2 linked regions of the Macaca fascicularis genome follow. The protein of the gene in region 1 purifies or fractionates together with the protein of each later gene. This does not show direct contact. Links are inferred from orthologs where the notes say so. Each region holds a gene or a part of one and is shown on either strand. Other genes may lie near its edges.

The links.
Region 2: the proteins of DICER1 (region 1) and protein argonaute-1 purify together in Homo sapiens (co-immunoprecipitation; 7 studies listed by BioGRID and IntAct, with this or other methods). This does not show direct contact. The link is inferred for Macaca fascicularis from reciprocal best matches to the Homo sapiens genes DICER1 and AGO1.

Annotation. Positions count from the first base shown.
Region 1 is NC_088381.1:163,206,062-163,209,812, forward strand, and holds the start of DICER1 (endoribonuclease Dicer), read right to left. Parts: upstream 2,835-3,751; 5' UTR 2,535-2,834; intron 1-2,534. UniProt on the Homo sapiens protein: Double-stranded RNA (dsRNA) endoribonuclease playing a central role in short dsRNA-mediated post-transcriptional gene silencing.
Region 2 is NC_088375.1:199,025,238-199,028,888, forward strand, and holds part of protein argonaute-1, read right to left. Parts: intron 3,568-3,651; coding exon 3,408-3,567; intron 3,226-3,407; coding exon 3,135-3,225; intron 2,071-3,134; coding exon 1,876-2,070; intron 1-1,875.

The DNA of each region.
Region 1 (3,751 bases):
AGGTTTCTCGAGTAGTCAGAGACAGGACATAGAATGGTAGTTCCCTGGCATTGAAGGTAGGATGGAAAAAGGAGTTAGTGCTAATGAGAACAGTTTGAGTTGGGAAAGACGAAAAAGTATGGAGATGGATGCTGGTAATGACTAAAAACAATGTGAATGTACTGTATGCCAGCTAGCTGTACACTTAAAATGGTTCAACGTTATGTATATTTTACCATGCCAAATAAAAAAAAGAACAACTATCTGAAATATTCAAATAACCATTCATTCACCTGAACATTTAAGGCTAGACACAGCTTCATTCATTCTGCAAGTCTTAACTGAGGAGTCACTACACGCGATGCAGCCCTGAAATCCACTCGGAACAGTAATGCAATACAAAGAGCGTGCCTGCAAAGATTCTGAAACCAAACCAGGATTCGATCTCGGCTCTGCCACTTCGAAATTCCTAACTTGGAGTAATAATCAGGGACTTTTAGTTTCCTCGCCTGTAAAACAAGGGCAATATTGAGTTGATCGCAGGGTCACAGTAAGGATTAGAAGAGAATGTATGTAGAACCTGAAACATCTTGGCACATAACAAGGAAGCACTCAATAACATGTTTCCCTTATCTCCTTTGCCATGAGCAAGTGGAAATGTGACCACGACATGGTAGGGTCGCAAGTGAGAGAATGTCTACGAAATACCTACCTTCTCAAATGAAACAAGCTCCTCACATGTCAGATAGTGGTAGAGAATAAAACATCGCAACGCCACAAGTCACCCTCTATAGAAGGTAGCACTACAAGTACTGTACAACCCACTATGTGACACCACAAAATCACCGTCAAATAAGAATCATGAGCCACATCAAAAGAAAATGTCTTCTAAAACCAAGACAATAAAGCTCAATAATAGCAAAACCACCCTGTTACCCAACTCACACACTGAGCCACCGGCAAAATACAGCAGTCAGGGCTCACCCTTCAAACATGAGATGGAAGCACAAAAAGTAAAGCAGGCCCTCACTAAAAAGGATTGTAGGAAAATGTCTTTTCTCCCCACATAAAAATGGACTAACTGTTCTTTTCTTAAAACAGCATTTTGGTGCCATGAGTAAATCTATAAACATATGTTACCATGATCAATGTTTACAGTGACCATGTTAAAAGCAATCTTTAGTTTTTTGTTTTTTTAATCTATTGAGTTTTATGGAATATGCCCTAAAATGAAGTTTTGAATGTATATAGCACATATTACATATAATACACACGTGCCACAGGTAGCCTTAAAGTAGACTTTGCAAAATAAACCGGCTATTCCAGAACCTAATTCCCAAAGATATCAATAATATCGAAAATTACTATTCTTTAGGACCTGGCTTATCCCGAACCCATCTTTTAGTAAACTGAGTTTTTTGGTAAGGATGTATATTTTTATTTAGAAAACTTAACGCTTACACCAATACATTTTCAACATAGCTAACCTGTTTTAAAAGCACATTTTTAACAATATTTTCCGAGTTACTTAACTCCTAACCTGAGTCCTTTTCCACTGACTCAAGACAAGCACCACGAAGACACCTGACAATCAGGATTGTAAAGATTCAGAATATTCGAAGACAGAAGCATAGACGTCCAAGTGATCCTCGTTCATCAGATGAATGTTTTTAAAATCTGAAAGTCCTAAGAACACTTACTTATCGTGTAGACCAGTAACGTGTCCCTTTAACCACAACTCTCTCCACAAAAGCACTGAGTGAACACTACACACCAAGGACCCTCCACTCATCTCCACGTTTCCGCAGATCTTCAGGATTCTAAGGACACACTCAGTGGTTTGCTAGCTCTGACCTCCAGGCAGAGCCATCAGGGCGACTCAGCTTTTCTGGACAATCTACATAAATCTGATGTGCTAACTTAAAACATACTCTGATTTCCCCAAAATCAAAAACCCTGAAGAAAGGCTCCTCCGCAGGGTCTGGGCATGTTGGCACAAAAACATCTGAGGGGAGAGGAAAAAGAATGGCCTCGGCCCCGCCCGCCCCCCCGGGCTCCGATCTGGTCCCCTGACAGTAATCACACAGGACCCTCCCGGGAGGGACCTAGAGCCCGACTTCGTCCCCTCCGAGCGCGGCGCAGCGGCCCCATCACAGGAGGGCCCCAGGGTGCTCCGGCTGGCAGGGCGCGTCTCCACCTCCGCTGTTCCTGCGCCACTTTCGCGCGCGTGACGGGACCTGTCAAGAACCCCCTGGCCTCGCCAGGCCGGGGAGTGGGCAGGCGCCGGCGTCCCCCACCACGCCACGGAGGTCCGGAGAGTCTCCCAGGGCTGCCTCGCGCTGAGGCGCCGGGGTGGGCAGACACCGGGTCCACAGGCCGCGCTGCGCGGGACGACGAGGCAAGCGAGGCCGCGCCCTCCACCAGCACCCGCCAGGCCCGGACGCGCGGCCCGGGCCCATGGCCGGCACGCGGGCCTCAGCGCGGAGGCGGGAGCGCGGCTGGGCTTGCCGCTCCCGGCCCCGGACACAAAGCTGCTCCGCGGGAGCCCGCCTCACCTGCAGCACGGGGCGCCGCGGGCCTTCGAGAACCATCGGACCCCGCTCCGGCGCGCGCGTCACAGCCCAGGCCTCCCGGAGCCGCCCGGCGCCGCCGCCCCCGCCGCCATTTCCTCGCGCTAGCCGTTGCCTCGTCCCCGCTGTCAGGTTACTCCATTCACCTGGGCCTGCAGCAGCCTGCGCCGCGCCTCCGCCTCGACCCCTCCCGCCGGCCCCTGCGGAGACTGCGCAGCGCCCGGCTGGCCCGCAGCCTGCGCACGGCCCGCGGCAACGGCGCACAGCCGCTTGGAGAATCCCACTGGCGCCCGCGCCGCCCCTCCGCGCCCCCACGCTCCGCTCGCCCCGTGGCGGCATGAGAGCGAGCCTGTGATTGGACAGGGCCCAGCGGTGAAAGGTTAATCCCGGCCCCCCAGCCATTCAGGAGCAGGGAGACAGCGGGTGTGCGCGCCGAGGCCGAGGCGGTGTTTGCGGCCCAGTGCCGAGACTGGACCCTAGTGGCCTGGAGTCTTTGGGGCCCTCGGTAACCCGCGGGCCGAGGCCGGCTAAGTTTGGCTGACTATCTCAGCTCTCGGAATTCGACTGCCTCCATTGTTGCCCCTTCTGGCACCTACAGACCGTAACGTGGCCGTAATTGTTCCCCAGAGAGCCTAGCTTCTCTCTGAGCACCTCCCTCCCCTTTTTAAAGTACCTTCCCACTCGCCTGCGTTTCCCCGCGTTAGTGGTGCAGGGGCCTTCGCATTTGGGGAAATAACAAACACCCACTTCCGCCCCCCCACCCCAACTGGGATCCCCAGATAATGAGAAATAGACGGTGGCCCTCTGTATGTACACTGATCATTTGCATAGGTCGGAACCACCCACCACATCTCGTAGCTAGGAGTTAAAATATCGGTGGGAGTTACATAAGTGACTGGCTTAAAGAACATTGTCTTAATTTATCCCCAAATGTAGACATCTGTTCGGTGGACTCCCTGATAGGCCGGTTTGCTCCAGGTGAGGTGTGCTCACAGCAACTGCAACCGTGTTGCTTTCAGCCCATGGGCGTGAGCAGAACCTACTCTGCGCCGGTGCTGCCTGGGCTGTGCTGTTCAGTTTGGGGCCACCAGCCCCGCATGGCTCCTGAGCACTTAAAGTATGGCTAGTCCGAATCGAGGTGTATGCGTTCTTTACCAAATAATGTTCAAAAAATTGTTACATGTTGAAGTGATAAACGTTTT
Region 2 (3,651 bases), on another chromosome or scaffold:
TTGGCCAGGAGCCTTGGCATCAGAAGACAACAAACATCTGGTTCTTGTGTATAAAGAGACCTAATATCAAGACACAGAACCAAGGTTCACAGAGAAATCACTAAAATTACAATGCCCAAAGTTAGTTTCACTCAGGATCAGGCAGCTAATGAGAGTTCTCTTTTGGGCTCCAAGAGCAGACAGGTTGTGGACCACCAGAGAAGAGCAGACATATAGCTCCATAATGGGTGCAGAGAGAGTAGGTGAATTCAGTCCTACAAAGCAAGCAGGATTATTAGAAAATGGGCTAGCTAAAGGAAAAGCTAGAAGTAAATAATCATAGGCAATAGTTTCCTATGGCCATGGATGTCAGATATAGAGGGTCAAAACTGTATGGTACAGAACGATAGACTTTGGAATCAATTAGACGTAAATTTAAGCTTTAACTAGTTGTATTACATTGGGCAAGTTATTAAACTCCACTAAGTCTCATTTTCTCCACATCTGTTAATGTTACTAAGACCTGCTTCACAAAGCTGTTATGAAGACTAAGATAGACAATTAAGTAAAAGCACAGAAAACCTAGTAGGGCTTAATAACTGCTGATTGCTTTACTAAGCAGTTTGAATTTTAACCCAAAGCTATGTGAAGCCACTAGACATTTCTGAACAGATATGTGATATGATAAATGTGTCTGATATTTTAGAAAATACTGGATGACTTAGAAATTGGGCATAATGGCCAGGCACCGTGGCTCACGCCTGTATTTCCAGCACTTTGGGAGGCCAAGGCGGGTGGATCATTTGAGGTCAGGAGTTTGAGACCAGCCTGGCCAACATGGTGAAACTCCAGCTCTACTAAAAATACAAAAATAAGCTGGATGTGATGACTCATAGCTGTAGCCCCAGCTACTTGGGAGGCTGAGAAAAGAGAATCACTTCAGCCTAGGAGGCAGAGGCTGCAGTGAGCTGAGATCATACCACTGCACTCCACCCTGGGCAAGAGTGAGACTCTGTCCCCGCCAAAAAAGAAAAAAAGAAAAAAGAAAAATAGAAACTGGGCCTAACAGTTAAGAGCATAAACTATGGAATCAGACCAATGTGTATGAATCCCAGTTCCACTCCTAATTAGCTTTGATGACATTAAAGAATCATGTAACATTTCCAAGCCTGTTTTCTCATCTGTTAAATGTAAATACACTATTATTCCATAGGACTATTGTAAAGCATTAAATAAAACATGTTTCCTCTCAGATTTAGGAAAAAACACACACACACACACACACAAAAAACGTGAAGTGCTTAGCACAGTTCATGGCACACAAGAAGTTCACTGGAACAGTAATTATAATACTATTAAACGGTAGTCAAGGATACCAGTTCAGGATAGAAGTTAAAAAAAAAAAAATGAAGACTGGCAGTGAGAATGAATAGGAGGAGTATTATGAAGGAAGGTCAAAACAGCATTAGTCCTCAAATGCAATCTCCAGACTATCAGCATCGCCTAAGAACTTGTCAGTATTGTAAATTCTTGGCCCTCATCCAAGACTCATTGAATCAGAAACTCTAAGGGTAGAGCCCTTAAAACTGTTTTAACAAGCCCTCCAGGTGATCTTAATGTAAGTTAGCATTTGAGAATCACTGGTCTAAACAATCAGTCTCCAACAGGAACCAACTACTTAAATAGGCACTGAGAGTCTTCTATTATGAGAAGAAAAATCTACAGATGCTTGTATACTCCATCCCTCAGTTGCCATCCTTGCCCCCAAGTCTACCCCATTTAGCAAAGTTCCCGAAGAAGTGACACACCTCCCAGTGCCAATAGCTTAGAAAAGGTAGTAGCACCTAGCTTTCCAGCCATGATGTGAAGGTTTTCTCCACCTACTGTGGGCCCTACCTGGGGTAGCTGGCCTTCAGGGACCCCATCTCGGTAGAAGATGATGCGGGTAGGCTTGAAGCGGGTGGACTTGTAGAACTGGATGAGGAGCTCACGCACCATGTAGGACAAGTCTTCAATGATCTCTTGGCGTGGTCGCTGTACCCGCACAGTAGCACAGTATCGGCTGGGGTGGGCATCCATACTGCCTACCACCTGACAGTCAGAGAAAAAGGATTAGCTCCTAGAACCTTCACCCTCACTGTCAGGCTATGGGTTTGTGGAAAGGCTTCTTAGCAAGAAAACTGCAACTGAATGAGTAGGGCTTGGGATTCAAAGAGCCCTGGTTTCAATCTCTATTCTATCACACAAGCAGAAGTTACTCAATCTCTCTGATCCTTTTTCCCCTTCTCAGATGTTGATAAGAACACCTGCTTGCAGTGCTACTGCAGTCCATATTAAGCACCTTACACAGGGCCTAGCCCACAGTAGGTACTTGATAAATTGATTTCTCTACCCTTTGCAGAGGAGCGTGTGAAGGTTTAGTACTACTAGATCAAACAATGGCCTCTTCCAGTCCCAAGTTTATCCTTTTTCCCATTCAAATGCTAATCTACCCAGGAATCATGACCATAGTAACAGTGTTCTTGTGGTTGATGGAAGAAACGCCATTTAGAAAGGAGACAGTGGCCAAAGCCTAGGAGGGATGGCCACAAGAAAAACAGGGATAAGCGTATTATAGGGTTTCCCTGCACTTACTGAGGTTAAGACCAGTGTGCCTACAGAAATGTGAGGGTTTAGGAAACACAAGTGGGAAAGGAAGTCTGATCCCTAGCAATTTGGAAGCCCCTAGGAGACAAAGAGCAGAAAAGTCAGGAGAGAGATAGGAAAAATATCTAATCTATTACACAGTGAGGATGGGCAGAGGAAAGGATAGTCCCATCAACTAAGTAACTCCCTTTAAAGGGATTTCAGAGAAGATACAGTCCCTCTCCTACATGCCAAAAGCAGGCATGGGGAGACAGACATTCAAATGCAGAGCAAGAGTGATGCAGAATGAGTCAAGTCTCTGGCTACACTCTCACTACTCTCCCTGAAAAAAGACACCATACAGAGCTACCTTTATGACATATCAAGGGAATGGGAATTGGGAATAGCGAGCTAAATGGAGATCTTATGAAGGGTCAAGAGCCAGAGCTGAGGGAAGGAAATCATGGGCAGTTTTGAGGACTCAGAGTGAAGAGGAGAACTTTATGAGGCAGCTGGAGAATATCACTCACTGCTGTGATAGAAGGTTTTTTCCCATCCCCTGCTGGGGGGTGTGTAACATCTGCTCCCAGGAATATCACTGGCTGTTGAAAAACGGCAGAGCTGAGCAAGGAAGAGAAAACAAAATGGTGAGGCGTTGGGTCTTCTCTAGCTGGCACCATCCAATACCCACTCTGCTCTTCTCCCCCTTGTGTCTGATTCACTCTGCCTGGCCAGGGTCCTATCTCTTCATCAATTCCCAGCATGGTACCTTGAAAAGGGCAAGTGGACAACAGAGTTCATACCGCTGGTGTGGGACTAGGATGTTGTTAATGCCACCAAGTTTGACATTGATCTTGAGGCAGAGGTTGGACAGAGTCTGAGGTGAGGTCTTGACCACATTCTTCACCTGCACACACTGTGTAGCCATTCCCAAGAGTGTATCTCCAACACGTTTCACCTCAGCTATGGGCGGGGAGAGAAATGATTAGTGCATTCAACAAATATTTACTGAATGCCTACTAGATGCCAGGCAGTGTATGAGGTGCT